2 linked regions of the Bombyx mori genome follow. The protein of the gene in region 1 interacts with the protein of each later gene in a pairwise test. Links are inferred from orthologs where the notes say so. Each region holds a gene or a part of one and is shown on either strand. Other genes may lie near its edges.

Evidence for each region.
Region 2: the proteins of PCI domain-containing protein 2 homolog (region 1) and nuclear migration protein nudC interact in binary tests that used the Drosophila melanogaster proteins (3 or more experiments, as listed by UniProt). The link is inferred for Bombyx mori from reciprocal best matches to the Drosophila melanogaster genes PCID2 and nudC.

What each region holds. Positions count from the first base shown.
Region 1 is NC_085115.1:3,905,223-3,922,564, reverse strand, and holds PCI domain-containing protein 2 homolog, read left to right. Parts: upstream 1-9,681; 5' UTR 9,682-10,067; coding exon 10,068-10,283; intron 10,284-10,644; coding exon 10,645-10,813; intron 10,814-11,408; coding exon 11,409-12,217; 3' UTR 12,218-12,862; downstream 12,863-17,342. Other genes in the region: protein AAR2 homolog, read left to right, coding at 392-594, 868-1,070, 1,493-1,750, 2,097-2,223, 2,473-2,890; Nopp34 (nucleolar phosphoprotein), read right to left, coding at 5,680-5,776, 6,286-6,347, 6,960-7,057, 7,734-7,911, 8,190-8,315, 8,390-8,470. UniProt on the Drosophila melanogaster protein: Required for the export of nuclear mRNAs and involved in mRNA trafficking in the cytoplasm.
Region 2 is NC_085128.1:8,575,916-8,592,659, reverse strand, and holds the start of nuclear migration protein nudC, read left to right. Parts: upstream 1-4,129; 5' UTR 4,130-4,314; coding exon 4,315-4,389; intron 4,390-5,305; coding exon 5,306-5,383; intron 5,384-6,461; coding exon 6,462-6,684; coding exon of another isoform or gene 6,685-6,689; intron 6,690-7,371; coding exon 7,372-7,529; intron 7,530-9,494; exon of another isoform or gene 9,495-10,174; coding exon of another isoform or gene 10,175-10,215; intron 10,216-10,300; coding exon of another isoform or gene 10,301-10,700; intron 10,701-11,407; coding exon of another isoform or gene 11,408-11,542; intron 11,543-16,744. Other genes in the region: broad-complex core protein isoforms 1/2/3/4/5, read right to left, coding at 34-593, 1,288-1,426, 1,500-1,838, 2,188-2,364, 2,696-2,875; uncharacterized protein LOC101746542, read right to left, coding at 10,175-10,215, 10,301-10,700, 11,408-11,542. UniProt on the Drosophila melanogaster protein: Chaperone protein with functions in nuclear localization and cytoplasmic mRNA trafficking.

The sequences.
Region 1 (17,342 bases):
TATTTGATGACAGGATCTCTGTTGATTTACCTAAAACAAATAAGACGCACACAATATATATTATACAGGGGTTAGTTCGATAACAGACAGACACTTAGTTACTGTTAAATACAATCGTATTGGGTTATGGTGCTTTTAATGTTTAAAACATTGTTTTACATAGTTGAGAACAAAAACATTATTTCAAACCTAAGAAAATTATTAAAAAATCTATTCACTTCAGTCTGCATTGTACCTACCTTTCACGTTCAGAAACATTCAAATCGGCACGCGTCGAGATTTTGACATTGACGTTTGACACTCACGAATGTAAACACATTGATTGATTGATTGTATGTATTTTTATCATACCATTAATTCATATTTCATTGTTTCGGGAGCATAGTTGGATATGGATCAAGAAACAGCGAAAAAGCTGCTAGTGGAAGGGGGCACGTTTGTATTCTTGAGAGTCCCTTCAGAAACCCAGTTTGGCATCGATATGCAGTGCTGGAACACGGAGGAAGATTTTCGTGGCGTTAAAATGATTCCTCCAGGCTTACATTATGTTCATTACTCTGCTGTCAGTAAAGGTACTGGCGATATTGCACCTAGGTAAGTGCGTTTTATATATACTTTAAAAAAACAATCCTAGTACTATACAAGGAATTCAAGTTTGGAGGTTGTTTTTGGAATCTTATCACTTAATTTTAATATGGTAATTCGATATCAGATTTACACTCAGAATTTACATATTCGAAGCACAAAATATATGTATACAGCTTATTAAGTTTCTTCGTGTATTGTTATTGAACTTATATGAGACTGATATCAATATTATTGTTACTTGCATACCTAAATAAATTACTTTTCTTGATTAAATTCCAGATCTGGCTTCATGCATTACTTTCACAAAAAAGAATTTCTTGTGAAAATGTGGGACAAAAAAACTGAAGATTTGAGCAAGGAAGAGATCAGTGATGAGAGCATCCAACGTTTGAAAGATAATTTATTTAATTTGGACCGACATCTTGCTCCATATCCATATGAAATATGGCAGAAGTGGAAGTTACTGTCTTCACAGATCACTGGTTGGTGTCTTCAATTAAAGAAATACTTGCCCTACAAATCTTGAATGAACTTAGTCTTGTTGAAGTTGGTGGTAGTTCACATTATGAGCCTGGTCATATTGGCATAGTGGAGCATATTGAGACTGGTCACTGTCCTCGCCGAACCCGTCGCTTGTGATGAAGGGCTTAATGAGTAAAATTAACCCATAGACACAGTCTACTGAGTTTCTCACCGGATCTTCTCAGGGGGTTGCGTTTCCGATACGGTGGTAGATTCTGCGAAGCACTGCTATTGCTAGAGGCAGTGTTAGCAACACTCCTGGTTTGAGCCCCGTAAACTTAGGCTTGTATCAGAAAAAACAATTCATACAAGAAACTAAAATATTGTGTTATTCCAGAATCTTATATCAATAATCTGTACTAAGTTTAATTTCTATTGTCAGCTGAACTAGCAGCAAAATTGGCACCAGAAAGTGGAATGATAAGAGCATCAGTTGAGCTTTTATCGATGACTGATGCAGAAAGACCAAGAGGAGTCAAGTCTTCATCTAGTTCAATAAGTCAGGAGAATGAAAAATCTCCCACTAAAGAGGATTTCAGTGAAGAACAGATTGCCGGACACTCAAGTGCTAAGAGAGCTAAAAGAATCACAAGGGAAGAGAAAGAAAAGTCATTGTTACCAGATTTGAAACCAGTTCCAGGTAAATTAATGAAACAAAGATAAATGTAAATAATATTTTTCCCCTATATATCTACTAAAATAAAACTACACGCCTAATTAATTACTGATTGTAGGACCTGTGAGGCTGCATGGATAGGTTATCACCAGCCTGCATATTTCTGCCGTGAAGCAGTAATGTGTTTCGGTTTGACTATACCTTAGAACTTATATCTCAAGGTGGGTGGCGGCATTTATGTTGTATATGCCTATGTGCTCCAGTAACCACTTAACACCATGTGGGCCGTGAGCCTGTCGTCTGTCCACCCATGTAAGCAATAAAAAATATAAAAAAAAATAAAAGAATTCTAAAATGTGAATCTTTACAGGAGCTGCTATGAGATTCACAGAAATACCTCAAGATAAATATCCACCGGATGCAACACCAGAGGAGATCACGAAACATTACTTAGATCAGTCATACTCATTAGAGCTCATGATAGCACAGCATAATGAGTAAGTATCTATTTTTATTAACTGTTAGTATTTTAAGAGAAATTTGAGGGTATCTTAATATAAAATTTTGTTGACTACATACTACATTCATATGTTGATTACATATACAGTTGAATGTCTATGATGGATATTTTAAGCATTGTTCAGTGCCGAAGTTATCAGGAAGCTAAAGTCAAGTCTCGACTCTTGACATGATTAAATGCACAAAAGCCAAAATCTAGAATTCTATATACGTGTTTTATTTTTCAGACCTCTACACATCATAGGAGAACTGCAATTCGCATATTTGTGCTTTTTGATTGGGCACTCCCTAGAGGCTTTTGAGCACTGGAAGAGCCTCGTCATACTCATATGTTCGTGTGACGAGGCCATACACAAATACAGAAGTGTTTTCTTTCACTTCATTAGGACTATTGAGGTGCAAATCGAAGAGATGCCCGAAGATTTCTTAGCCGATATAGTGATGAATAAAAATTTAGTATACAAGAAACTCCGTGAGTTTTTCCGCACGGCTTACGTAAGCAAAGTCGACGGCAGACTTTTGACGATGATTGAACGCTTCAAAGATAACCTGACCGACAAATTGCAATGGGATTTCACTGGTCTAGACGCTGACGATGAAGACGAGAGGCCGGTCGTAGTGAAACTCGACGATGGAACTCAATAGATTATATTTAATGGCTCCTCTTCACAATCGGCCATGATAGGCCAACAAACAATCGTCCATCATCGCCGCCATGATGGGGCAACTCTCCACACAATCGTGAACGTTTATTTACTGACTGTCTACTGATATGTTAAGACGTCTAGGTATCGATGATGGAAATCGAGGAGATCGCGGCTGCGGCAATATTTTTAGTTCTATATAGTCTATATAGTCATTTAGTTAATGTGCGCGAAAAAAGAATCGTGAAAACTTTTTTTTCTTAAATCCCTCTTGTAGACAGACGGAGTCGCCCATGGACTTCAGCAATGCAAGATGAAAGAAGATAAGGTGGTGGGTGGTGGTTATCAATCGGACCAAAACAAGGTCCACGCAACCATAGTTTTAAAGTGGACACAATTGACACACATTCGAGACAACTACATCCTGACTAATCGGCGATGGTGTGGACGCTCACACAATCATGGGCCATCATTCTTTTGATCTACCGCCACAACGCCGATTGCGCACGATCATACGCGATGATGGCCGATCACACACATTTATGCCCTCTACACTATCTTGAGTTTCTATAATCGCCCATCATGGCCCATTGTGAAGAGGAGCCATAAGGACGGTTTTCATATTTCATTTAACTTGGATGATCTGTGCAACCGACACTTTCCAAGGTAGATGATATTATCCTAATTGTGTACTGTGTACATGTAGAACCAATTTTATGATATTATTTATTAGTTCAATCGTTCATAGTAACAAATGTTTGATTACATTAAAAAAAATTGTTTACTTTAAAAACTTTTCTGAATGTTTGTAAATTTCCAAAAAGAAATTTATCATATGTTCTGTCTATCAAAATCAAATTTATCATATTATATTCTATCAATATACTGCAAGGTTGAAAACTTTTGCAGTGGTTTGATTACGTAACAACATTAAGTTCAATGTGTTATGACGTCACAGATCAGTAACTTTTATTACTAATTTACAGACTGCATGGGGCTAAAGAATTAGTTTTTTTTACTCAATACACCGAATCCATAACTAGTTAGAATAAGAAATATTACAAATAGATTTTTTTAAATTAGTTATATACATAAACAGCAAAATTCCCTATAATGGGTATAAAGGTTCTTACATAATGTAGACCGGCTGTTTGGGAATTCGAAAACTTTTTGACAAGGTTTTCAATATTTACATACCTTAAGAATAGTTACGAAAATGTGTGATCAAAGAGTAATGGTAATTATAAGAATTAATATAATTTATAAAAAATATTTTTTGTATCATAATTTTTCAAATTAAATAAATGGTACCTGTAAACAATTGCATCTATTTACATTTTTAACTTTAGTATCTTTTTTCTTTAACTGTGCTGATCCCAAGAAAAAGTTTGTCGCCGGATCTTTTCAGTGGGTCGCGTTTCCGACCCGGTGGTAGATTCTGCGAAGCATGGCTCTCGCTAGGGTTCATGTTAGTAACCTCGTCAGGTTTGAGCCCCGCGAGCTCACCTACTAGTTAAGGTTACGCTGAAATAGCCTCTCAAAGTTATCAGCATAGGTAGTTTAAAAAAAGTATGGCCTTGTACGGCGCTCCCGTGTGCAACGCGGTTTGCTGCTCCGAACTCAGCGGACGCTAGCGGTGAGGGTCTTCAGGGGATACAGTATGATCTCCTGGGAGGTCGCCTGCGCCTTAGCTCGGTGGAGGCGCACTGCACCTCATCTTAGCATACGCCAAGTGGAAGGAGCGGTTGCTGGAGGAACTTGGCCGAACTCCTGTCACCCTCTGGCGCACCTTTTTTTTTGTTTTCCTGCCTAAGCTGATAGCCTTGAGAGGCTATATCAGCGTAGCCTTAACTAGTAGGTGAGCTCACGGGGCTCAAACCTGATGACGTTTCTAACACGAACCCTAGCAAGAGCCGTGCTTTGCAGAATCTACCACCGGATCAGAAACGCGACCCCCTGAGAAGATCCGGCGAGAAATTCAGTGGGCTGTGTCTGCGGGTTAATTTAATCGTCGAGCCCTTCGTCATGCGCCATGGCCAGGTTTAACGACGTGAAGTGACGTCCCGTGAAGCTGAAGAGCACGAAAGGAAGTGGGATCCCTCTTCGGCTCCTCAGTGAAGAAGGTGGAATGAGCAGCGCGGGTGCGAAGCCCCGTTCGTCTCCCGTAGAGGTCGTCGGGTGCCAGGTGCGGAGGGCCGCCTGGTGCTCGACTGTCGATCCAGTGGTGAGGCGGCGTAAGGTGGCTCCTGTGCGCCGCTCACGGTGTCCCCCCCGAGGCGACGTCTTGCAGAATCTTCCCGGGGATGAAATCCCGCTCTATTATCAGGACGGGTATCGACGAAGGCGGACTTTCGGCGCGCATTTTGCGGTACTGTGGGTTTCATGAAGTCGGAGTGTTGGAGCCCAGTGAGGTTTAGTCGGTAGTCAATTTTTCTCGGCGGGTCTTGTGTGGCTGACGCCGCGCACTTAATCATAAAATGCAAAAAATAAATAAAAAACATTTCTTGTATTGTATTTACTTTGACTTAAATATTATACATTGCTTTTTCTTTTTTCATTGTTTACTGATGGGGTTCTTTTTGTACTGCTTCTTAAGCTTCAACTTCTCAGTGTCGCTTGTGGTACTGTAACAACATACCCAAGCAATAATAATCAATACAATAATCACATTGACACTGAATAGCATATAGGAGCCGAGATTTTATGGAAAAACCATGAAGTAATTCATTAATAGAAATCAGATTGCATTGTATTATGAGAAACGAATTCATTTTACAAACCTTGTTTTATTTACTCAATTTCTGTTAATTCTTCTGGGATATCTACGGGCATGAAGAAATCATAATTGATGCCCAATTCCTTTAACTTTTTCTTTGTTTTATTTAAACTGAAATTGAAAAATAGAAAATAGTGTAGATAATTTAATTTCATTATTAGCACTAACATGGAATTAAGATATATAATCAATATTTTTTTTAAATCTACTAGTTCTTGTCCTATTTGGAAATATTCTTTTGGTTCATCATACAATTTCCCAAAATAGACATATTTGCTTCGATCAGAGTTAATTAGATTTAATTATAATAGATACATGCACACAGCAAGTAAAGAACATAATTTAAAATTAATTGACTAAAATCTTTATTGATGCTGATCTTGTTTTGATCTTAGTATCTTAGTCGCTAGCTAGTAATGCAAGGTGGCACTAGTAGGTACAACCAACCTACTCATTTCTGTTGCAGCATTTGACTATGGTAACCACTTAACACCAAGTGGACTGTGTGCTTGTTCAGCCGTCTATATGATAATTGGTTTATTAAAAAAAGTTTGGGTGATAATGTAACAAATTTCACTAGTACAGTAAACTCAAGACTTTCAGTAAAATAATTAACTTACCTTTTCATTAATTTACGAGCACTTCTTAATTCTTCAGCATCACTCTTTACTGCGTTGTATTGCTTAAAAACAATTGATTATTTTTAGTTACTTATTAAATATTTGATATATCGCACCTTTAGAATTTAAGAGACCCATTTCGTAATTTTTTTTATTTTGACTTTCATTAAAAAATTGACTTAGAATGTTTTTCGTTTATAAAGGGACAAACTTGTCCATCTCTTTCACACCGTCTCCTTCTTCTACGTCTTTTCAGTTTGAAATTTTTTTCAAAAAAACACATTTTTTCGGTTGGGTCTCTATAATTCTAAAGGTGCAATATATCTCTTATGGTAATTTTATGATCAACACATCTTCATTGTTCAATGAACATATTTTAACAATAAATTTACGATTGAATGGTAAACATTACAATAAAAATTCCACATTCAATTGCTGTTGTTAGAATTTTATGTTATGGGTGTCAAAACCACATACAAAGCAAGGGCATGTATATTTACTAAAAAACAAGTTTCATTCACAAAGATAATAGATATAGAGAACTGGCATTAGCAATTTGCAAAAACCACTAACATGTGCAACATACATTATCTACTTTAATAATACTGAGTACACCAGATTTTGCTTGGGCAATCTTTATAGACATTTGAAAATTAATATTTTCTAATACATACTTTTTTAAGTTTCAGATTCGTATTTAAGACAGGATTGTTCTGAGGGTTCCATGTGTATCTCATGGCCCATCTTCGTTTATCAGGTGGTATGTAAGCAGCTGAAAATGAATGTATTTTTATTTTTTTACCAGTCATCCAGGTTTAGCCAAAATAAATTTGTTTCACCAGTAAGTTAAGGTATTAGTTAAGCAACATTAATACATAACAGAATCGAAAATGGATTGAAAATTATGAATACTAAAATGTTAGATATAGTAGTGACACTCTTGTAAGATTACTAGAATTTTTTAGGCTTCCCAACAAACAGAATTCATTCATTGATTTATGTTGAGAATATTTTTTATTAGGTATTTTTTTATTAAAATTTTATAATTAATGATAAACTTTAGATGCGCATTCATGTCCATATACACACAGCTCTAGTGTTTTCTGTCTACATCACAAATCATCAGCCTTGCTTATATTTAGTACCATGCTATTATTATCAGATCACTTTACTATAGGAACTAGAACAAAATTATCACAATGAAAATATTTGAATGAAGAACTAAAGTATGTCTCATAATTACTGATTGTCTTGTTTGATTTACTATATTGCCTATTTGTGTCTATTTATTGTAAGTAAATTGAACCCTATTCTAAAGCTATGGATAATTTGAGTGTCTATCAAAAGGTTGCCTTAAGCATTTAAGATTCCTGTGATGGCTTAACACTAGATGAGGTATAATGGGCTTATATGTTTATTGATCTACACCCATACATAATAATGTATACCTTTTATCAATCTTTTCCCCATGAGATAATTATTCATGGTCTCAGCAACAATTTGTGCGACAGCAGGATCATGAAACTCTACAAATGCATATCCTTTAGATCTGCCAGTGCGCCTTGATCTGATCACTCTACAGTTAGAAACACCTCCAAACTGACTGAAGTATTGTGTCATTTGATGCTGAAAAAAACCCACAAAAGATATGAGTCTAAATAATTGCAAATAATTTGTAAAGTATAGCTTTTTGGGCAGAAATAGGCAGGGTGGTTGTTACCTAACCGCGCCCACTCACAAGACCTACCACCAGTAAAAAATTAATAAATGACCTTTTGTACGTTTTTTTTATTGGTATTTACAACAAATCAAATTATTCCAGGCGGTCTATTAACAACAGGGACTCTTCTTCGACGGTGGGACGGTAGTTTGCCAATTAAAGCAAAAAAAGAATTGTAACCAACCTCATAAAATCCATGTGGGATATGTCCCAAATAAACAAGCCCTCTTACACGTTTCTTTTTTTTTATTTTCTCTTCTTGTACTTTAGGGGTGACGGGGGTCTGATCCTTCGCTTGCGTTTTTTTCTTCTGTGATATAAATAAGAATAAGTACACTGGTTTTTTATAACCTAGTCTCAAATATATAATGTTATTAATACTACCTTTATAGTTTTTTGCAATCCTTTAATGGATTTGATAAACTTTTTTTGTTTGCTAGAATCCAACGCAACGTTTTCTTCCATTTTATTTCGTAATTTAAAATGTGATTTAAGCAAAAACTTAGAAGTGTAAATAAAGAACAACAAAGTCTTCTTTTTTAATTTTTAGGGATTTTATGACCTGGTAAGTAGGACCTTTAAGTCAAGTCTTATTTTTATTTTTATGAAAAGTGGTATGAAATGAAGGAAGCTGATTAATATAAAACAATGCACGAAATGTCATAAAATGAAAATGAAAATGAAAACGAAGTGAGACGAGACGAGACGAGATGAAACGGGACGAACGAGCACTTTCACAGATACTAAATAGTTAATAAACCACCGTTATTACACATTTAAACCTGAAGAAACACTTAATAGACAAAAATTTAATAAAACAAATCTCACAACTTCACTCTTCGCATTCCCGCCAAAAAGTCCCAAGCCTTCTCGTGTATTAAGTGCACAGATTGATGTTCGTTTTAATATGTATCGTTTGCGTCAGATAGGTGTAGGCATTACATATTATCTATTTTTTAGCTGCAAATACGGTACATCAATTTAATATAAAAATAGATTCCCTTTGGCTATCTGGTAGAAATAACAAACTCTCGTGTAACAGACACAAAAAGCTCAAGACCTTTAGGCGGGATCGTGAGAAAAGGATTAATGTGACTTGTTACATTTTGTTCATTTACTTTATGCTTAAACGTATAAAACAGTGGTTCACTAGCTTTTTCGCACCTGTGTTAATGCTTAAGGCTATGTTCCGATGTACACTGGGAGCACTGTAAAATATAATGTAAAATTAGTATACTGCGAAGCCATTCCTTTAATAGCTGCACTGGTTACTTTTTTAAATGGAACACAGTACAGTATAAGGGTGAGACCGATATATTAGTATTCATTAAGATATTCGTAATACAGCTTGGGAATTTTTAAATGCATTACTTTTTAATGTTTGAACCTTCATTTCTTGATTCCTTGAAGTCAAATTCCTAGATACAATATACTATTTATATTATTAATAACTAATGTGTATTATCTATGATTATTAACTTATTTCACGAATACCGTATTAGGTTTAACTCGTTTACCCGTTTTATCAAAGTATATTAAGATATCAGGATATTCACGTATTAGTTAAGGTATTATAATATTACATAACGAATATATTTGTATATTGACAAATATCAGTATTAACCCATCGTTAGTACAGTATGATGCCTGCAATTTGTGTCTCAAACAAAAAAAAATGTATGGTTGCCGCTGTTATAATTCACTTCATCTAAAAAAATAAATAAACATTTGATTTCACTTAATTACATTCCATTTCACATAATAAGTATAGTCTTGGCCTTCCAAATGCTTTAGCGGTATAGACTTCTTTCCGTGTGCCTATCCAAGGAATGAAAAACTTATCCTTTCTCCAGTTGAGCTGTGGAAAGTGGAAATGACATATAAAGAAAACAAAATTTCAATGTTTTCATGAGACCGATTTTGCGCTAATAAACTCTGATTCTTTGATAAATATCAATCATGAAATGTCGATTGACGAAATTATAGGAAAAACTACATTCTTGTAATTTTGTATATTAAAATTAGTCATTCAAAGTTAAAAATCCAGTAATACCTAACCACAATGTCGATGATAACTGGCACTCTTAATCAATACATACAATGTGTGGAACGTATGTACAGAACGGGACAAGGTAACATATTGTCTAGACTGTTGTCTCTAAGAGATGAACATGTCTACAATAGGAATCTATTATCTAGCGATATTGCAACCCTTGTCACAGGAAATTGTGTTGCTCCATTAGATGAACTTGTAATTGCACACTTATCATGTCTTAAGGTGAGATATATGAATTTAATTCTGGTTTTAAATTGATAAATATAGATTAAAAAATAGTAAATGTACCATTATTAATCTGGCCGTTACTACAGCGAACATTACCTGTTAAGTGTATTTTAAATATATCGTTTTATTAGCTTCTCGTCAAATACTTTTACTGGTGGCAAGACCTCTTGAGTCAGTAGTAGTCAGAAGCAGTAATGCATTTCGGTCAGAGACTGAGACCTTAGAACTTATATTTCAATATGGGTGGCGCATTTACGTTGTAGATATCTATGGGCTCCAGTAACCACTTAACACCAGGTGGGCTGTAAGCTCATCCACCGATCTAAGCAATAAAAAAAAATGCTTTGCATTCCAGGCATTATATGCAAGTGATTACATTGAGGCATACGATCATCAGAGTATATGTGTGGCCTCTGTCGTAAAGCTATTACAGGGACAGAAAGAAGAGAACTGGTGCCTTCCGGTTATGTATGCTGCATGTTTAGATCTTAGACTTGTTGCACAGAAAGCAGAGGCATCTAGCCGTAAGTATGAATTTGCATACATCATTCAAGAGCTAAGATAAGATGGTAATAGTATCAAGTGATTAGGGCATTAAGAATAAGATGCCTGGAGTACTCATATTGAAATCTTCAAATGCCAAGGAAAATAATGTGTCATAGAAATGAGATCTTATAGTATTTATGATGGTCGGTTGTGTTATAAGTTTGCACAACTAGGTATGTATTACCAAACTGCTTGTTTCTGTACTAAAGCAATCATGTATTCTAGCTTGAAGAATAGTGCAGCAATTACACTATACAATTCAGCCTTAAACTTCATCACTTAAGGCAGACTTCACAAAGTAACGTCTACAGACTCTAGTAACCACTCATCATCTGGTGGCTGTTTAAGTGCAGGTTCCCTTCTACTCAAGATTTGTCTCCTTAGTCTTGTTTGAAGAATGACTAACCCTAAGTGCTCAGTATATTCACAGGTGGTAGGATTCAACTCTGTTATGGTGGTACAATGTCGAAAAAACGAAATTATCTCAAATACTTGCATGAGTTGTTGTCTTAGTCAATATTGTGTTAAATAATCTGTATTCTGTACAATTAATTTCATTTGTCAATATTTCAGCTCAAAATGGCAGTAAAATTATGGAAAAAGCAGCAGAGAGCTTATTAGCTTGCTTCAGAGTCTGTGCTGCTGACAACAGAGCTTCAGATGTGGATACCAAAAAGATAGGCATGTTGTGTCTTGTAAACCAACTTCTTAAAGTATATTTCAGGATAAACAAGCTCCACCTTTGCAAACCATTGATTAGAGCCATTGATTCTTCACCATTCAAAGATCAATTCCCACTGGCCCAACAAATTACATACAGATATTTTGTGGGTCGTAAAGCCATGTTTGACTCAGACTATCGTCTAGCTGATGAATACTTATCGTTTGCTTTTGAAAATTGTCACAGAAGAAGCATACGAAATAAAAGGCTCATTCTAACTTATTTAGTTCCTGTGAAAATGCTGTTGGGTTTCATGCCCGCAAAATATTTACTAGAGAAATATGATTTGCTACAATTCTGGGATCTAATATCAGCTGTGAAAAATGGAGATTTGCGTGGTATCGATATGGTTATGGAGGAACATGAAAAGTTCTTCATAACGGCTGGTATTTATTTGATTGTAGAAAAATTAAAGATTACAGCATACAGAAATTTGTTTAGGAAAGTATATTTAGCGGAGAATTCACATCAGATAGACATAGCCAGCTTCGAGGCAGCATTACAAATCATGGGACAGGAAGATGTTGATTCAGATGAAACTCAATGTATTGTTGCAAATCTCATATATGATGGAAAAATCAAAGGATACATCTCATACCAACACAAGAAAGTGGTTGTCAGTAAACAAAATGCTTTTCCTCCATTATCTAGTCTGTATTAAATTTATACCATTTAAATAATACCTAGGGGAATACACACTTAATTTTTTGATTGTTTTAATAAAAATTAAGATTCCATTAGCATAAAGGCTGATTAAGTGAAATGTGATGATGAGCAATTGTATATCTGACGCAATTTCACTATTTAAATACTTTCTTTTTGATTACATATAATATCCATAAAAATACACAAAACAGTTCAGTAGTCCAGTTTTTTTATTTTAGTAGCACTAATGTGTTTAGGGTTGTCATTAAATAAAATAGAAACTCACAACGGTAGGGGTGTCTTTACACCAAAATATGTCATTAATAAAACAAAATATTATACATATAATACATAACATGAGTCCAAACCTTGTCAGTGAATATGGTTAAGCACTATAACAATAATATCTATTAATTGAGTGTAATTAATGTGGATTTTAATAAAAGATGATGATGATGAGAGATTAATGACATGATGTGTAATTGTTTTGAATCCTGCTTGATCTGTATTAAGTTTAAAATTTAAATAAACGTCTAGGGATTACAGATAAATAATAATTTTGAATTCGATATTTCGCGTCGTTCGGAATCTCTATTTATGAAAATACTATTTGTCCCTGTTTTGTATCGTATGTTGCAAATATATTCCATTACCAAAGTGAGCAATAGTTTCAATGTTCCCATCACTATTGTTTTTCAAATTTTTATTGAATTGGAACGTTTGCCTACGTTTGCCGCTAGGGGCGCTGTTCCAACTGCATACAAATTTAAGTTTACTTTTACGCTATCAAGAACGTTAAAAACTAACACTAAGCACACTGAGTAGATGATGTTATGGATATAATTGGATAGTAAACTTAAAAATACATAACCAGTTATATAATAAAGGAAAAGTTTTACTGACGTGACAACGTCTTATAATTCGATGGAGCTGGCTGCACGCACGAAAAAACATGACTCATAGAGGCGTTCCATTTAAGGCAGTCTTTCTCAAAGTGGGCGATAACGCCCCCTTGGGGGCGTTTGAAACCTACAGGGGGGCGTTAAGGGGCCTAGGAAAAAATGGGGGTCGTTGGTGTGGGTTAGGGGGGCGCTGTAAAATTTGTAATTTCATTTACTTTATAGTATTTTAAATTTCACTAAAATTAAAACCACCTACTACACAATAACGAATAATTACTTTATACTTCTACCCTTTATGATGTTATAAAAACTTAAAATAATTAACATAGATTTCGCAGGATAGCCCACACACCGTACGCCATCAAGTTGTAACAAGTTTCTGCGGAACATGATCGATGATAGTTAAAAAATTAGAGCAATTTTACCTTAATTACATTGCACCAGAAATTATTTTAAACATTAGAAAAAAAACTACCGTGCAGTTTTAAAATATTACACATACGTAAACTAACACAAATTGAGGTTTTCTTTACTTTCTTTCTTGTTTTTAACATAAGGGCATTTTACAGCATTTTCCTAGCATTTTATAAGAAATTACTGATGTAAGAATCATAATTTTTATATAAAATGGAAATGCGTATATAATTATTGTTCAAAAATTTGTCTTAGATTATTATTTTTTACAATTTACCCATTACCGTCCAATGTCAAATAGTATAGTAAGCCTAAACAGCTCACTTATTGTAAACATTACTATTTTATTTCTATATAATAATAGGTTGGGGAAAATTTTTCTTCGCATTTTTAAAGAAAATTCACAACATTTTTTAATATAGTTTATTCACATTTAACTAAAGTATGTCGGTACCATTTTGTTCGATAACTTTTTGCCATCTTGTAGGTAGGGACATGATCCCATTGCTATAGAAATTTTGGGGCTTCTGATCAAAATACCGCGATAATTGGTTTTAGCAGTCCTCTCGTGATGTTAACCTGACACTGCCTAAAGAATTCTGAAGAGACCGAAACAGGTAGAAATCTGAAGGTGCAAGGTCAGAACTATACGGCGGATGCATTAACACCACCCAGCCAAGCTCTCTTAATTTTTGCTGAGTGGCTAAAGATGTGTGAGGTCTAGCGTTATCGTGATGAAAAACCACACCCCTTCTGTTGATTAATTCCGGCCGCTTTCTCTCAACTTCTTGCTTTAATCTCATCAGTTGTTCGCAGTAGAGTTCAGAATCGATGGTCCTGCCTGGTGGTAACAGCTATAATGTATAATGCCCTTCCAGTCCCACCACACACACAGCATCACCTTGTTGCGAGTTAACCAGGGTTTCGCCAGAGTCTGTGAAGCCTGACCGGCCTTTGACTACAACCTTTCTCGTACATTCTTGTCGTACGTGATCCACTTTTCATCACCAGTTATCAGCTTCTTCAAAAATGGTTCGGTTTCATTACGTCGTAATAAAGAATCACAAATGAGTACACGGTTCATTAGGTTTCTTTCAGTGAGCTTTTTTGTGTACCCAGTTTTTTTCAAATGCGCTATAACTATTTTGTGGTCAATTCCCAGTTCTTCAGTTACGTCGTAACTACTGATATGCCGATCTTGCCCCACTTTTTCAAAAATGGCATCGATTTTATCCGTAATAGGGCGACCAGAGCGACGTGCATTTTTGACATAAAAATGTCCGGATTGAAAACGCTTAAACCAAATTTGTGCTACTCTCACAGACACTGCACTAGGTCCATAAACATCGCAATTTTTTTTTCATAGCTTGCGTTGCTTTTTTACCTTTTTGTAGTAAAATTTTAAAATGTATCGAATATCTTCATTAGATTCACTCATCTTGACAGTACGAAAAATAAATAAAAATCACACATCTTCCTAATTTTAATTTGGAATTATCTTCTTTCGAATTTAAACTTTTAATGATACCAAAACCAGCCAGATACAAATAGTATAGCCAAAGAGATTTTATTACAAGTTCATACATTTTTAAGCTATTGCATAGCTTTTATCGCGGGCCTTGAGCGTGGCGACCGAATCATGAAATTCCGTAACGACAAAAACCTAACACCCCTCACTCCGCCTACCATGTAGCTCGCGTTCAACACATTCACACGTTGCGCTTGTGTAGTGTTTGTGAATAAGCGCGTGGCGTGACGTCACACTGCATGCGCATCATGAAAAGTCTGCCCATCTCTCTCTCGCGCGGTTTAGCTTATGAGTGTGAAGGGGACAGTTAAGGTTTTGCCTTTATTAAGGTTTAATATAGCGTGGTCTTGTTTTATGATTGTCTTATTATTAAATTATCCTTGTCTAATTATAATGTCATAAGTTGATAAAAAATGCTATGCAATAGCTTTACCGCCGCAGTTCCCGAGTGCCACACGTTTTTTTTTTTATTAGGAGGAAATCGCCGGACTTCCGCCCTTCACTGGGGATGGAGGGCGGGGCATGTCGGAGTCGAACCGACTAAAACCTCCGGTCGCTCAACAACCAGCATCCAAACCTCGCATGAGACAGAGCTCATGAAAAGGCACAGGGGGGAAAGCGAAGCGTTTAGTGCGGAGCACATCTCTCCCATCACCCTCCCCCTCGGGACGCCGGACTGGCGGTCGTCGGCGCCACGACCACCAGCCCTCTCGGTCGGCAGGCTGTCCGAAGCCCGCCTAGATGGCGCCGGTTAGAATGGTCTATCCTACGGAATACCCCGCTGGGTCAGAACCAGCGCGGGTTGAGGATAGCCGGCCTTCCATTACCCGGATTGTCATGCGTAAAACGTGTGCATAGCAGCTTGCACGTCGTCTTCTTAGACCCCCTTCGCCGGTTCCCAGGCTGACATGTGAGGGAGACCCGAAACACTTAGAGGGCTAGGGCGTGGGCGAGATCCGCTTCCCTGGACCCCGCTCGACGGCGGCGGGCCTGTGCATCTCTCACGCGCCCCGCTGCCTCCTTTTGCGAGATGGTGCACTCGCAGAAGTCGAGCATCGCCTTCCACGACTCGTCGTCACCGAGCATCGATGCCAGAACACTCGGCAATGACAAGTCGTTTCCTATTTTTGCGACGAGGACACGCCGCCATCCCTTCCATGCGGGGCAGGCGACGAGCGTATGCTCTGCCGTGTCCAAGTCGCAACCACAATGGTGGCACTCTGCCGTCGGCTCGGCTCCGATCCGGTGCAGGAACTCACCGAAGCAACCATGCCCAGTGAGTACCTGCGTGAGCCGGAAAGTGAGGCGTCCTCTGTCACGATTCACCCAATTCACAAGAACCGGGCGAATCGCCTCGACGGTCCTACGACCAGCCGAAGGATCGGCCAGCCGCCTGGACCATGACTCCAGCACGGACCGCCGAGATTGGGCCCTCCGCGCTCTGACCACACTGGGGCTGGGACGTGCCATGCCCCGGGCACGAAGGTTAGCCCGCACTGATTGAACTTTTTTTCAAAAAACAATAAAAGCCTATATCACTTGGGAATAATGAAGCTTTCAAACAGTGAAATAATTTTTCAAATCGATTTAGTAGTTTCGGAGCCTATTGAATACAAACAAACAAACAAATCTTTCCTCTTTATAATATTAGTATAGATATTAATTATTACAAATAATAAAAACGCTGACTTAGGCGGCGGTTTTTATTTGAACCAGTTCTAAATTATAAACTAATATTCTATGAAAAATTACCCATATTTATCTATAATAAGAAATGATATTAATTTATTTTTCGTAGTTTTCTTCCACCTTGCGTCGATAATCCTCAATGCTGAGGGTCGTGGCCTCCTCTAATAACTTTCTCCTGCATCATCTTGCGCCATTCCTGCCTGTCCTCGGCTGTGTGGATAGCAACGTGGACTGAGGTATTGAGAGTGGAGCGTATTTGGTCCGACCAGCGCATTAGATTTCTGCCTCTGTGCCTTCTCCCGCATACTTTGCCTGTTACCAGCAGCTTTTCCAGATTGTCACCTCTCTTTCTGGCAATATGTCCAAAGATCTCGAAACTCCTCCGCGCGCATGTAGTGCTGAGGCGCATTGGAATCTTGAGCTGGGTAAGAATGGATTCGTTGGTTCTGTGTTCTGTCCAACGAATCCCGAGCATTTTCCTCCAGCACCACATCTCAAACGCGTCCATGCGTAGGCGGTCGGCTTTCTTGAGGGTCCAAGTCTCTGCGCCGTAGAGAAAAATGGAAAAGACGAGGGAGGTGACGAGCTGCTTTTTGGTATTCCTCGAG
Region 2 (16,744 bases), on another chromosome or scaffold:
GCACGTAATATAAGACCATAATAATTTAAATAATTAGTTTCTTTGACCATGACTTGTCCACATGTGCTCCTTAAAAGTTTCACGCATTGTGAACGATCTTGGACACAAATAGCAACACAATCTATTCGTTAAATCTGAATGCATTAACCTTACATGATATTTGAGTGCTGACTGATTAGAATATTTCATTCCACAATGCGGGCAATCCCCACAAATAGCAGCATGGTTAGATTGTTGGTGGGACATTATTTGCGATGTTGAAGCTCCACCTCCCAAACCTGGTACAGTGGACATGCCAGCAAGTAGTAATAAAGCCTGCGATTGTTCTTGATTATATGTGTTCTCTGTATCACCATCTTGATGTTCAGAGAGAAGTACTTCTGGTTCATACTCCACATCAGATTTTGGTGACTGTCTTTCTGGTTTTACTTGTACTTCATCAGATGTGTTTTTTATTGGACTCCTAGATGAATTATTGTGTGAAACAGTTTCAGTGTTTGAATCTTTTGATCTACTGGGACCTATTTCTCCAATATTAACTGGTTTTTTTCCTGATAAATTACTGGCACTGTCACTTTTTGAAGGATTAATTCCTGAAAATACAATACAATACTCATTTTATACCAAATAAATAAAACTTCCGTCAGAAGCCGTCGTAGCCTAAAGGATAAGATGTCCGGTGCATTCGTGTTGAACTGTGAGCACGTCCACACATCTAAGCAATAAAAAATAAATAAATAAAAACTTCCTAATGTATCAGCAAAAACTCAGGAAGGCAAAAAAGCAAATACTTAGGAAGTGAGAAATTTATTTAAACCTTGAAGTTTTAGAATAGCAGCAAATTTAATTTTTGCTAAATTCAATTTTGATCTGTCTCAAGGTGCATAACATTTTCCAATTAACATCAAATGGATTATGATCTCAGACCATGTATGCTCACTATCAATGTACATCTTAGCGTTAATTTTGTAAAAACAACTTTTTTCTCAATGCCACCATGCCAGAATAAGAAAAATTAAAATATTTAATTATTGTTTGTTCAATGTTTGTAAAACAGTATTATTTTCTATTTTAAATAAGTTGTAATATGTGGTTAATTGTATATTCATTTTTGATCCACTTTTGGCAAGTAAATGATTAATATGGCCCTAAGGTGTTTCATTAAGTTACGAAAGTATACACAATTAAGTTTCATTCTGCCTTATTTTAAAGCTAGCATGGCAATTTTGAAATAATAAGGGGCAGGTGGTCAATTATTCAACATGATAATACAATCTTTTTCTTTACCTGATAACAAGGACCTTGCAAGCATGCTGTTTTCATAATCTGGAAGGCTGTCATCTTGTTCTGATAGAATGGCAGTTGATAATTCAGTTGAATTATCATCAAGCACTTCGGTTTTCATTGGTATTGAACAATCATGCACCTGGAAACAATATAGAATATTAAATTATGTCTTTTCTGAAATGAAATTAATGCTAGTGGAAATAAGTTCAAACCTGAGATGATGTACTTTTCCCATTGGCAGTTATTAGTGGAGAGTCATTTTTTCCATCACATTTCTTGTCAACATTGTTTTCAACAGGAAGCACATTGTCAATTTTGGAAGATTGTGAAAAATTGTTTAATCTAGGAATATCACATGTATCCAGGACCTTGGTTTTTTTGTAACTGTCACCGACTGACACATCATTTGGCTTGTCTGAAGTGCTGCTTCTGCGTTTCTTTAGTCCTGGTAACTTTGCATCCTTGTGGGAGGCATTGTGGTGTGGTCTTGATGAAATTGTTAACTGAGTGTATAGTTTGTTTGATGTATTAGGTGATGTAAAGTTTTCTTTCTGTAAAATAAATAAATTTAAAACTGTACCACCATCAAAGCAAGAATACTTTGAATGATCTTTAAATGAATATGAGCATTTAATTAAAGTTCAGTAAGGCTTACTCAAAAAAAAAAACAACAAATAGCAATTTTTTTTAGTAATGTTATAACTTATTAAAGTGAGATTATCATTATTACCCCTTCCAATTTATCCATAAAATCTGCTAATGGAAGCATCAACAGATTTTGTTTTGGTTTTTTACTGTAGTTGTTGGTCACAACATCAATAAAAGTTATCTATGGTATATTGGAATCTGTTTTTCATTTCTATAGTATTTCAAATGTAATAAACGTAGAACTTTCATCACCTGTTGAGTTACTCCAGTCAGTCCTTTCACTTGCAATAAGGCAGCAGTGTGAAGAAATGAAGACAATTTACTCTCTTCAATGAAAACTTCACCTTGGTACATGTATGACAACAAGCTCACAATATCATCTGCAGACACATCTTTCAAAATGATCACTGGATGCTGACATGGGTTTTCCTGAGATAAACACAAATTTTCATTGATAAAATTCAATAGAACCATTAGGTTTACTTAACAAAATATTAAAGTATATTACATTATATTACATTTTTACAAAATATTACATTTTTCTGTAATAAAAAAAAATAAAAAAAAGTAAAATATAATTTTGTAGAACCATCATTAAAAAAGTATTGAAAATAAAATCCTTTTAATATGTGCATAAACGAACATAGCATACATTTAGTAGTAAGTAGGTATATTGTTGGTATTCGCATGACATTGCATATACCATAACATATTTACTTGTAAATGAATATGAAGGTTATTAATGTCCTAAGTCATTTACCTTGAACACATTCCTGAAGTACGGACTGCACGCTGACAAAATGACTTTGTGGGCCTTGATATTTCTACCTTCACAAGTAAGCGTCACATCAACTAAATCTTCAGAACATTTTAAGGAATCCAATGCACTCACAATATTCGATTGAAAATTGTTCCAGCGTAAACAAAATTGGTCGGCCATTCTTAAGGTTTCAATTTATATCTGCAAAAGAAAAATATTTCGCTGACTTCATTTTGACACATGACATCGAAGGAAAGAAAAAACAATTGTATTATTAATTACTCACAAACTTGTTCCGTAAAGTAAATTACATTTTAATAAAACATTCAATTTCTGTGAAAACGTATTCAAATCTTCTCTATTTTTTTAGAAAATGCACAAAAATGCAATGACCTCCATTGATTTGACACTGACTTTTTCTTTCACTTTCCTTTGTCTATGGATTTTGCGTATCTTTTTGGTCTTTATTCTATGCTTGAAGTGATGGATTAGTGATAGACCTCAGAGTATAATGTATATCCCTTTACTAAATCAAAAATGCTACTACAATTTATAGTTGATGAAAACAGACATATTTTAAGCTATAATTAACAACTCTCATAATAGCTGGAGTTCCACCTACATGCTAGAAACGTACCGTGGGGCATGCCAGAGTTAAGCTGACTATTATAATCTCCGGTGGCTCAACAGGCCATATCGCTAATACGACTAAGACAGATGTCAATAAATGTTGGGGGGAAAGGTGACATATTCCCCGAAAACTCACTCTTCACCACCTTACTCCCACTTAACGTCATTCCGATTGTCGACGTCATAACCACCAGAACTCTCAATTGGCGAGCTAAGCTGCTGCCTATTGAAAGTCTTGCGCTTACGGACTACGGGTCTATTCGTTCACTTTAATAATAAAAATAGTGTTTTGTCGTGTCGGCAACTATTTTCTCTCTGCAAAGTAATATGTCCAATGATTTGATGTATCATTCAACTTGTTCTTAGAGATAGATGAACATTATTAATTTAAAATAAAATTAAAACCTTTTAAAGGAATTTTTAAACGTTTTAGTATATTTAGTAAGGAAAACTTTTAAAGGATTTTTTTCCACGAATGAAGTATGAATATACTTTATATATTATTTTATATTACAACAAATTAGCTATGAAGAATCGTTGGTTATCTCCTTGTGAGCAATAAACACAAAATAGTGTGTAAAATGAAAATAAAAGAAAATAAGAATGTTGGTTGGTATTTTGTAATCACTGAACACGGTTTATTATAAAGTTTAGTTACGGATAATTTACTTATTCCGGTCGATATCTTCACGAGGAAATTAAAGCTTTCTCGATTTTTATTTTTCTATTCATACTTTTTGTAACCATGTAGTGCAATAAAGTCATAATTACCTCTAATAATTTCATCTCTACGGTACCCTCAAATGGAAACATAACCGTAACGTGTCAAGTTGACGTTGTCATATAATAAGTGTCAACAAATCGTTTGTTTGGCTGAGATTGAGTTGCGGTTTTTCGACTCTAGCTGCAATAATTGAAAAACTAAAGTATTACCTACGTAATTTTAAAAACAAGTACCTGTGACTTACCGTCTTAATACTAAAGTAAATATGGCAAACGATCCTGAAAGATTTGATTCCATGCTCCTAGCTATGGCACAACAGCACGAAGGCGGCGTAAAAGATGTAAGAGTAAATTATTATTTTTGCTTTGTTCACAATAATATAACAGATATAAATCATGACACTAAACAATATACTTTTATTATGTCTTTATCAAAGCGCTTAGTTGTTTCTCGTTAAATTGAATATCATTGATCGCTTGCACGTGTTGTCATAACAACACATTCTAGAAACTTGGGAGGTTACTAGTGGAAGATACCTACTTTTAAAGCCTTGATGTCCCTAATACTTTTGTTCGTAGTTTTGTTGACTTTTAGAAATAAGTAAGTTACAAGCTCATTACTTAAATATCAGACACATAATCCACTAATTTGAACAATTACATTCAAAAGCACAAAGAAAGGGACAACAGTATTATTTCTACTAATGTTAGGACAAAGTATATAATTGGAACATTTTCTTTAATTCATTGCATTTTGAATTTCAAATTCATTATTATATTCATCATAGTATTCATATTATATTCATCATAGTTATTGATCTTAAATATGATGAGCATTTTATACTGTTATGTGTTTGATAATAATTTAATAAATTATATATTTCTAATGTAATGAAATTCATCAACAACTACATTATTATTTCTTTATTTATTCTATAGGCTGAATGATCTCACAGCTCATTTGGTCTTAAGTGTTATAATTTGAGGTGTTCAGATATAAGGTGAAAGTTTCAATTGTATTGGTAGTTTCGATTGCAGAATGCATGATTTTGTGACAAAAATAGGCAGGGCAGTGTGCATAGTTTGACTTTTTAATGTTTTCAATTGTGTAAAAGTTAAATCAAATTTGTTGGGAGTTGGAATGTTTCCCTATGTCTGCTGCAAGGGGCGCAGTTGCATCTGTGAGCTCTTGCAATGTGGTCTACCACTGGTAGATTTTAAAGATGAAAAGTTTAATTATTTTTTTGTTGTTTCCAGCTGCTGAACACAATAGTTAGCTTTTTGTCTAGAAAAACTGACTTTTTCACTGGTGGCCGTGAAGGGGAATGGGAGCAGGTATATATTGCTTAAAAATAATCTTACTAGTATTTTAGATAAAAACAATATATACAGTCAAAACTGTTTACTGCGACATAGTTTAGAACAACATGCCGGTTATAATAACCTAAAACAAAGGTCCCGGCTGAATGCTATATGACCGCTGTATTAAAAACATTGCTTTATACGACATTGCTAATAACGACATACCTCATAAAACGACATAATATTTCGGAGAATTAGATCTGTTAGAACGACTGGCTAAGCTGTATTGTAAACAATTTGAATAGGTATCCACATTTGTATTAAAATCAGGAAAGGAAGCAATAGGATTTAGTTTAGTGTAGGGTCTTTTCTAATTCTTAGAAACAAAACATGTGCATGCCGTAGAGTCAAAGCCCGCTTCTTCATATCTTTTCAGTTAGTTTGTTACTTATCTATACACAAGACGCACCAAAACTTTGTGGAGTTATTCGTGAAACTTTGAAAATGTCGCGAAAAAAAAAAAAACAGTATTGAAGAAAAATCGCGTATTATATCCAAGCTAGAGAACGGAATTTCAAACAAAGACTTAGCAAAGGAATATGGTGTAGTGGTGTGAGTGGGACACTCGACATATTTCAACCATTTGGAAAGAGCGAGAAAAAACTCAAACGCTTTATGACAATAATTTTACAGAAAAATAATATGCATTGTACTTATGTGTAATAAACATAATGTACATAGTTGAATAAATATAGTTTTCCAATAATTCTCTATCTATTTGTTTGTACTTGCACGATACACATTAAACATCACCGTTTGTTACGACTATCGGTTTTTACGACTGAATATGAGCAGTCCCTTCGATGTCGTTATAACAGATTTTGACTGTATATATATATTAAAATAAAATCATTGATAACTTTGCTTAGGCAAATAGTCTATAAAAGACATTAAAACTTAATAAATTTTCATATATCATAAATAAATTTGTGGATAAGATGCATTAATTTAATTAGGCAGCAGCTATACTATGCTATTAGTAATCCCTCTTGGGTCAATAATTGAAACTTGATTTTGGATAAATCTCCAATGTACAGTTTTGTTTTTTCAGGTAGTCAAAGATACTTTCTACACCCATGCTAAAAAAGCATGTGATGAAGCTAATAGGATTAAAAAAGAAAAAGAAGAAGCAGACAAGAGATTAAAAGAGATTCAACAAAGAAAAGAACAAGAGAGACTTGCAAATGATTTTGAACCTGCTACTGTAACTGAACTCACTGATCAGGAAGCAGAGAAGTTAAAGGAAGATATTGAAAAGGACAAAAATGAAAAGAGTATGATTTCTTTTTATTAATAGTTGTATTTATATTATTTTTCCACCCAAAGCTTCACCTGCGTTATCTATAATTTAATTTGTTTAGGCACATACCCAGGAACAGAAGTAGGATGAAAGAGAGTATATTCTCTCCCAAGTTCATTTTTAAATTATGATAATAGCTTTTTTTGTAAAATCAGATTTTAATAGTAATTCAACAATAGTAAAGTCAATTTATGCTTGCTTCAATTATTTTACATTAAACATGTGACAGAATTTATGACCTGACTAGATATGCATTGATTATAAGTATGTTACCTAAAGGACTCTCAGCACTCAGTTTCTTCTATTGATATTAGACTGTTTGCACTGCTTACAACCATCTTTGACATAAAAAACGAACTGATTCTTTAAGTATACCTGCAGGAATACAGAATACACAATAAGATATCGGTTAAAATCAAATTGAATAAACTTTGTAGAAAAAACCTGAGATAAAATATGAGAAATATCAAGTCCCTAAATTATTAAACTTAAATTTCTATCATTTTAGATTATCATTTCTGTTTGGATTTTGATTATGCTCATGTTTATAAGTGGTCTTAAAAGGACTTTATTTGTAACATATTGACTAGAGCAAGCACCATCACACTCCTAGGCATAAATATAATGACACCACATCAGTATATTTCCTTCATATATGCAGATGCAGAAGTTGGCAGTGGTGATAGCAGTGATGTTACTGAGCCTGCAACGCCCGAAGAAGATGACGATCCCAAAGAAAAGGGGAAGTTGAAACCTAATGCTGGAAATGGATGTGATCTGGAGCACTACAAATGGACACAGACGTTGGAAGAAGTAGAGGTGAGTCATTGGTATTAAATTCAGTACCATAGAGTTTATTCAGTTATTATCCATTCTCTACTTAAATATCCGGATGCCTCCAAAGAACACTACTCTAACTCAAAAATTTGAAATTTTCGTTTTTCACGCAAATCGCTTCACTATGTTAAAAGTATTGCAATTAATCATTATTAATGGGGTTCGAAGCAAGAGTAAATCAGCTAGCTACACAAAAAAACCATAAATATATCTGCAATAATAAAGATTTTATCAACTTTTTTCGTTTAAACGCTCCTCCTGTAAATCTACGAATTTGGAGTTAGCGTAGTGTTCATTGGAGGCATCGATCTAGTAAAATGCTTATTATATTTTTAAGAGACTCAATGGTGAATAAACATTACATGCTTCGCTGTACATGCATAACTCTGTATAAACTAATAGCTGTTGATACATGCACACTGTCTAACGTGCGGTCTTTCTATTGAGAGCCGTAGATATTTGCAACACAAAAAACCTAGTTTTGTGTGCTGTGTTAGTTCAAGTTGGTGTTAAACGTTTACTGCAATGAAATGAATTGAAAATTTCATGTGACCGCCACTTTTGAGACATGATTTCTAAATCTTAATTGTATTGAATACCTAATTTATCTTATTATCTAATTAGGTACCAAAATACTTAATACACTGCTGTGCTTTCTAAAGATACTAGTCGAAAACTACAGCGGAGACACAGCAGAGTACACTACTTTTTCTTTACATAGTTCAAATCAAAGACAAATTTGTATAGTGTACAATAGAAGAATACAACAGCTTTCTCCTTTACTTTTGATCATACAACACGTTTGTTTACCGAAACGTCTTTAGCTACTTCATCGACAACCTTGAAATCTCAATTGCTTTAGAATAGACTACACCCTAAATAATTTACGAACTACTCACGCCCTGACGGGTAAGTCGTACGTTGTACTCGTATCGAATTCGAATATACCACATATTTAATAAAAACTAGATGATGACCGAGCTTTGCTCGACTTTTTTTTTTGATAACGCCATCTTGTTGTGTCTATAAAGCGGTTATTTGCCCACAATAAAAAAAAATAGTATTATTATTCGCCGACAGATGTCGGGAAGAGTTGATTATTGAAAACACGAATAAAACAACATTTTCTGAAAATAAATCGTAGCTAGATCGATTTATCGCCCCCGAAATCCCCTGTATACTAAATCTTATGAAAATCGTTGGAGCCGTTTCCGAGATTCAGATTATATATAATAATATATTAATATACAAGAATTACTCGTTTAAAGGTATAACATATATTATCACAAATTTCTTTTCATGATGAAGAAAATTGAGTCATAAAAATCGAAATTGTTAGCTGGCACAGGTATCTCTGGAGTATTACTACGAAAATTTGTCACGTTTTGTAGTGTGATGGCTGGGACAGCTGTGTGCTCAACCTATCGGCAAACGTAGGGGCTCTGTTCAAACTCCATACAAATTTGAGTTAACTTTTACTCGATCGAGAAGTTAAAAAACTCGCACTAAGCACACTGCTGTGTGTCTGTGGGTCTCGGGCGGTGCCGTTTGGGTTGTGATATCTATGGGCTTGGTGAACCAGACGAGCCTTGAAATCCCCCAAAGGCAACAAATAAATACTAAACCAGCCACATTGATATTTATCTCATCTAGAAAAAAAAAAAATTTTTTTTCATCGCTTAGATTGGTCGACGAGCTCACAACTCACCTGGTGTTAAGTGGTTACTGGAGCCCATAGACATCCACAACGTAAATGCCGCCACCCACCTAGAGATATGAGTTCTAAGGACTCAGCGTAGTTACAACGGCTGCCTCACCCTTCAAACCGAAACGCATTACTGCTTCACGGAAGAAATAGGCAGGGTGGTGGTACCTACTCGGGCGGACTCAAAAGTGGTCCTCACAAGAGGTAAGAACCATTATCTGCTACTTAAAAAAACAAATTAGTTTGAATAATAGTTTATTTTGTTTCATTATCACAGTTCAAAATATGTAACAAATTCGTGTTTCATTGTAATCGTTGTTCACTTGAATATCAATTAATATTACATAAAATTACTACATTCGCTGGCGAAAATTACATCAAAGTTGCAGTTTTTCATGAAAATTACGAAAAAATGCAAATTTTATTTTTCAGAACATTGATGCAAATGCAGTGTCGTTACTAAAATTACTTATTGCTTAAAAACTATTGTGGTATATTAAAATAGCTTGAATTTGAGATACAATTAGACTAATCGTCAATATGAATAAAATAAACTTCTAACAATTTACACTAATAATAAAATACCGTGTACATCAAAGTTTAGACTAAGATTAAATTAATGAAAAAAAAAACAACTAAACTTTAAGTTACAATAAATAATAGGCTTTTTCTAATTTTATTTACCTAAATTCCAGTAAACTGGATTTTTATTGCACTAATTCATGAAATATACGTAGTTGCTTATATAAAACAAAACAGCTTGTTGAAATTCTGAAAGAATATAGTTCACAATATAACGAAATTTTTTTTTTCAATTTAAAACATCGTGTATCAAAATTATCTAAACATTTGCTGTTAAACTACGACCAAATAGTAACTAATAAGCTGGTAAAAACTTCAAAGTTCTGGTCTTCTTTGAAACTTATGAATATTTGTACATGCCGGTCTCCTTGCGCATTCGCACTGAAAAAAAAAACAAGACATTAAAGTTAATTTGCATTACTGAAAATGAGTTTATAGAAAATAGTTTTTATTTAATAATACTCACTTTCGACAAAGCATATCGCTGCCAGTATACACGCAGAGAACAATATAGTCATCGTTATCACAAGGACGGTTATCTGGTGCGAGTGATTACAACAGCAGGATTTGTTCTCCTTGTTCGGACATTGCTTCGTATAACCATTTACAACTGTGAAGTGAGTTGAACTAGCTATAGAAGTGGCGTCTTGGTCGCGCGAGCATTCCGTCTTCACGCCACTCCAAATGGATTCGTTGTGATCGTGTGGCTCCTCGGGAATCGCGACCACTGCTTCTGGAAGAGCGTACTTGCGTTCATAGCCGCCGAACTTGCTATGATACGGACCCAGCTCCTCAGTGTTGCTGCTCCGTCCACTCATGCGTGCCAAGTGAGCCGCGCTGAGTAACAATGAACCCGACGAAACGCTCTGAAACAGTGCAAGTAATTTTCAAATGATACCTAAAGGCCACATGTTATTTATTAGTAGAGGAGGACTTTTAAGAGGCTAAAAATTTTACAATAAAAAATATATATAATTTATAAATTGACATTAAATTTATGACCTGAGACGGTAACTTGGTTCGACCACCTCACTAGTTCGAATGTGCCTAAATTTTTGCACCTTAAATAAAAAGAATCGGAAATGCCTAAAAAATCGCGTTAGTAAAAGAATGGGTTTATGCATGCAAATGACAGTATTGTATCTGTACTGGATTGTGTCGTGAACATCCATGTGAATCCTGAACCGGACTCTGTAATACCAGTCAGTTCATTGATCTCGTCAATTAAGAAAATTAACGAATACTATGACAAAAACTATTCAAAATGATACAAACAAAAAAACTACAATTATGTATTAAATTAATCAATTAGAGGACGTCATTTGCAAAGTCAATCAAGCACCAAATTTACATCAACTTGGGCGGAGCGAAGTTCACTTTTTGCCTATAACCAATAAATCTTGTACAACAAAAAAGTTTATTGTATGTTTTTTGATCAAATGCTGGATCCGGCTAATTTACGTAGTGTCCTAATGTATTTAACCAGTAATGTTACTACGATGCATTAATTAAAGCGGAAACGTATATAGATGCCTATTATTTTTGTGACGCACAAATCAAAAGGTCATCTTACGTGGGTGCTATGGTTGCTAGAAGAGCCTTGGCTGGAGGCGGAGCCGCCACGAGATCGTGAATCGTTGATGCTACCGGATCCGCTACTGCTCGATAAAGAGGGGCGAGGAATATGCCATTCATGCGTCGACGGAATCTGTAACAATATTGTATTAATTTCCAACTGACTTAACGCACAATATATTATTTACAGGTCATGTTTAACCATACATACAAGTTTCTTGTATTTAACCAAAATAAGTTTTCGTTATTTAGATTTAATTCGCTATTTAAGCAAAAGAAAATCGAGATAATGCCAAATAAACATGTTTAGTTTGAATTCGCGTGGATGAGCTTATGGCTCATCTGAAATCAAACGGTAAAGTAATTATCTCACTCTCAATTATATTTAAATAACTATTTACGCAAAATGGGTTTCATGCAGAAATAAATATAGTTGTACTAGAAATTGCAGGCTCGTAACAGGACTTATTGAACAAAGGTATTCAAAACTTATCCCCAAAAAAATAATAGAAAATAAGCCAAGCACTGTGTTGTAGATAACAAAACACTTTCAATCGTCCTCCTCAAAAAAGTAGTAGGTACATTGATTGATTAAATAAAAGTTGCATTGGACGTGTTGATTGTCTCGTCTCGTGGTTTAACCCACTTTCTATTCGTCATATCGAAGACGCGTACCTTAAATCTAGCTCTTAAGATTTTAATGATAAAAATCAGTTAAACATGCACACAAATACAAGTACATATATATACGAGTATATATGGGTATTTTTTTAATAATAATTTGGAAAGTGTTCCAATTTAAGCCTTGGCCTTGAAAGGCCTCCCTTTATTGTTGTTTTAGTGAAGCTAAAAATTTCGATCGCTTTGTTGATAGATCGCGAGTCATACGCATTCAATCCTTTTACAATTAATTGCTATGCGTCTAGTATGTCTTTGTCAGTCTTTGTTTTATACTCGATTGTACAATTACGTTGATTCTTTGATTGTTTACGTAATTACCGTTTAAAAAAATTAGGCTTTGATGGAAATTGTTTTTATTTGTATGTTCGTTAGGGTTACGATTGCTTTAACGCTTTTTGGGAAACCGACTAAGGAATCTGTAAATTTAAATAGGGTACATATTATTAGGAAATGCAAAATTCATGTAAATGTTAGAAATTTTGCACGGAAATCGTGTTAAACCTCTTCCTTGTCGGCTCTTTAATTTGCAGAGATGCCGCCGTTCCGTGTCGTCTTGTCTCCCTTTCAATTTCAACACAGTCACTTTTATGCAACCAACGTGATCTATCGCCGTTGTGATTCATGGCGATAGAATTAAAATAAATGAATTTTATAAAAAAACTCTTAGTTTTTCCATACATTCTTTTTAAGGGAAATTTATAAATTAATAGGGAACACGTTTCAGTTACATCAATGACGTTTTAGGTCAAGTTTTGTTCGGAGTCCGATCGATTTTGTCAGATACGGTGCTCAAGGTTCGTGTTCTCTTTATTTGCGGTCTCGTTTCGTCGGCCTCTGATGCAATAAATCTTAGCTTTGCTTTCGGCTTCATGGTCCTCTTTGTTACTTTGATAACGCGATGGATAAGCGTTTTAGGCAGTCGGTATCATTAATGCATTTTACTTTTATAGTAGCGCCGCGAGGTCAATTTGATATTTTGTTTTAGACGATGCCGTTACGAGAATTACGAAATACGAATCGCAAGGTTGAATTTTAATTTATTTAATACGTTCCGAGTTTGCGTTGACCTATGCTGGTATTATTTTACGGACACGCTGGATGCTGGGGGACAGTATATAAATAATGCAATCGGTACAACGTCCTAACATGGCATACATTGCGAAATGTTTCGGCGAGTGCAAAGAACCGGTTCCGGGGTTCGCATTGCTGCTTGGAGTAAGTAATGCCTTGACAGCGTCGTGTGCCCGCAATATATGCTAATACTTTCATTATTTATCACATTTTTATAAGATAATTGAGGTTTTTTTTTTGTATAAATTATTTAATTATATTTAATACTGGATGACCCGGCAGACTTCGTAGTGCCTCAATCGATAAATAAAAGACCTAAGCTTTTGTATAAAATAAACTTAAAATAAACAAAAGGAATCGGTCCGACGGGGGACACATCATAGGGAAAACAAAATTGTTATTTTTATTTCATTCCGATATTTTCATATTTATCTGCCTTTTAAACCTTCTCTGGACTTCCACAAATAATTCAAGACCAAAATTAGCCAAATCGGTCCAGCCGACCTCGAGTTATAGCGAGACTAACGAACACCAATTCATTTTTATATATATAGATTTGTTGGCAATTGCCAAAATTTGAGTATGGTTTGCGCCGGTACATGTTAAGATTTAAGAAAAATTATTTCTATCATTATTTCTTCTATCATATTTATATCATTTCAGATAACAAAAGCATTTTCCAGTATAATCACAGTTTTAACGTAATTAATTTTCTTCTTATTTCTAGCGTTTTCCCGGTCTAGTGACAGGGTCTGCTTTTCTACTTAAAATCCCCTAATTTATTATATATCGAGGAGTGAAAGGCTTTTTGGTTTAAGCGACATTTTTGCAACCTTACAGAAGAGTCATTTAAAGTTTAAAATTTGGAAAAAATATAACAAAAAACTTCTTCAAGTGTTTGAATGAAGTAAACTTAATTGTAGTTCAATTAAAAACATCAAACTGTTGATGCTAATTCCAAATAAAACGCACCTTTAATTACATAGATAAATGTCGCATATTAAGAGAAATGTCGCTTAAACCACAGCCTTTCACCCCCACGATATATTTTATAATTATACGTAATTAATTTTAACAGATTATTTTTTTATCAAGCTATCTATCAAGCGATATTTAGATCTAGTAGTGAGTGATTGAGTGATTCAAATAGTACCCGATTTGTCTTAATTCCGATTAAAGATTAATGTACATGAAACCTACGAATAAATAATATATTTGTTAGTTACACCTGCGCCGCCAATTGGTGGTACAATGTCGGAACCTCTCCTAGATAGTCAAACTTTTCAAGTGTTTCATTGTAAACACGCTTAAAACACGAAGTCACACGATGTTTAGTTTATAAAAAGGTCCTTTATCATTTTTAATAAATAAATAGAAAATACAATTGTCTTTTATCCCCGTGATCGTGGCCTGGGTATTAAAATAAAAACATTATAGGGTTGTCATAATTCCTTGATACGCGTGCAAATTTTCTAGTTAATCGGACCTTTTTGATGTTGCTTTAAATTAACATGAAACATCCTTCACATATATCTATTAAAAGCTTGTTAAAAGCCAGAAATATTCAATATTATATACTAGATACTAGAGTGTTGCATAATTGTTAAGCACGTGTTGGTATATGGATATACGGGCACGATTCGGAATTGATTGTAAATTACACGAGGTGAGAACTATTTCGCAGATTCCACGAGAAAAAGTCTTAATTTATTAGGCCTTTTAGATCTCTAGTGGACATTTCAGAACATGTAATGCCTTATTACTATACTGTTAATATACATTTAAACTGTATTTGTGTACAGAGTAACGATTTAATTTAGGGCCGCTACCAATACATACAACAAAAACCCAACCGCTTCGCGTTTTACACAATGTAAACAGATGACTTCATTTACGCGCTAATAAATCAAATTGATTCCTACTTCAAAGCAAAGTAGAAAATTATGTATTATTTTTTCATAAGAATATTTCAAAAGTCTTAAGTGTCGTTATTAAGTAGGCTTTTTAAAATAATTCGACATTTGTAACGGTGACGAACCCGTCCGTGCAATAACTATAGACAGGTGTTCAGTTGTGAAACATGTTTGGTTCAACGAGACGGTCTAGTTATGCAAGAACGGTAATCTTTCGTATAAAAAGTCAATGCGTGCGCTTCGTCATGCGTGCTTATAACGGTTAATTGTGTTACCGCGGAATCAAAACTTCTCGTAACAAACTTCAAACGTGAACAAGAACTGAAAATTGTCACTTGCGTTATATAATTTCACAAAAGTAAAATACTAATTAGCGTTTCGAAATATTTAGGTTACAACAACAAATGCCCTAACTTCCTAAGTTAAAATTTCAATACGCCACTCTCGCTTCGGAAGACATTTTTGTACAACTTTCATAATCTCAAACAATGGCCGCTACATTTATTATGATAATCAGTTAACTTACTGGACTGTTCTCCTTTAGAAGAGAAAGCGTTCGTTCCTGATCCGAACCTCTTCTTGGAATACATTCGTAGAAGCAAATGTCATGCCACGATAAAGTCGAATAAAAAGTTTTAAATGTACATGGCAGTTTCAACGTTTCAGGTTGTATGTTTTTTACTGGTGGTAGGACCTCTTGTGAGTCCGCGCGGGTAGGTGCCACCATCCTGCCTATTTCTGCCGTGAAGCAGTAATGCGTTTCGGTTTGAAGGGTGGGGCAGCCGTTATAACTATACTTGAGACTATAGAACTTATATCTCAAGGTGGGTGGCGCATTTACGTTGTGGATGTCTATGGGCTCCAGTAACCACTTAACACCAGGTGGGCTGTGAGCTCGTCCACCCATCTAAGCAAATAAAAAAAAAATAAAAAAAACGTAAATATGTACTTCGCAACTTACAACATCGGGTCATGTTATTGAGCATCCAATTATCATATTTTATATGCGACTGCATGAGGACACAACGCAACGCCGCGTCGCTCATTGTTCAAGCTGGTCACAGACGATGACATGATGCTTATGTTAGTCCTTGAACTGAATCGTTTTGTATTTAAACCAAAGGGATTCGTGTCAATGCAAATCGCCATGGACACTGACAATTGACAGATTATATTGAACACGATATACGGTTTAAGTACTTTTTAAATATATTTTAGAGAGAAACACGGTTGCCACGAAATTTTAGGGAGAATTTTATTAAAATACTAGCTTTTGCCCGCGACTTCTTCCGCGTGGAATAGTTACTTTGGCATAACGCTAAATTTTACCCGCGACTTCATTTACGTAGAAAGTGAAAATATTTTTGAATAATAGAATGTTTAGGAACTATTTAAGGTACCAAGTGATGTTATATAGCCTATAGCCTTCCTCAATAAATGGGCTATCTAACACTGAAAGAATTTTTTCAAATCGGACCAGTACTTCCTGAGATTAGCGCGTTCAAACAAACAAACTCTTGAGCTTTATAATATTAGTATAGATAACATGTATGTTATATTTAAAATTTACATCTTTGTCAGCTTCTTGAAATCAACCCTAATAGAGAAAAAAAACCGACAACTGTAGCTCGTACTGAGTGCATTCCTCTTAAAGTTTAAACTGACCTTTT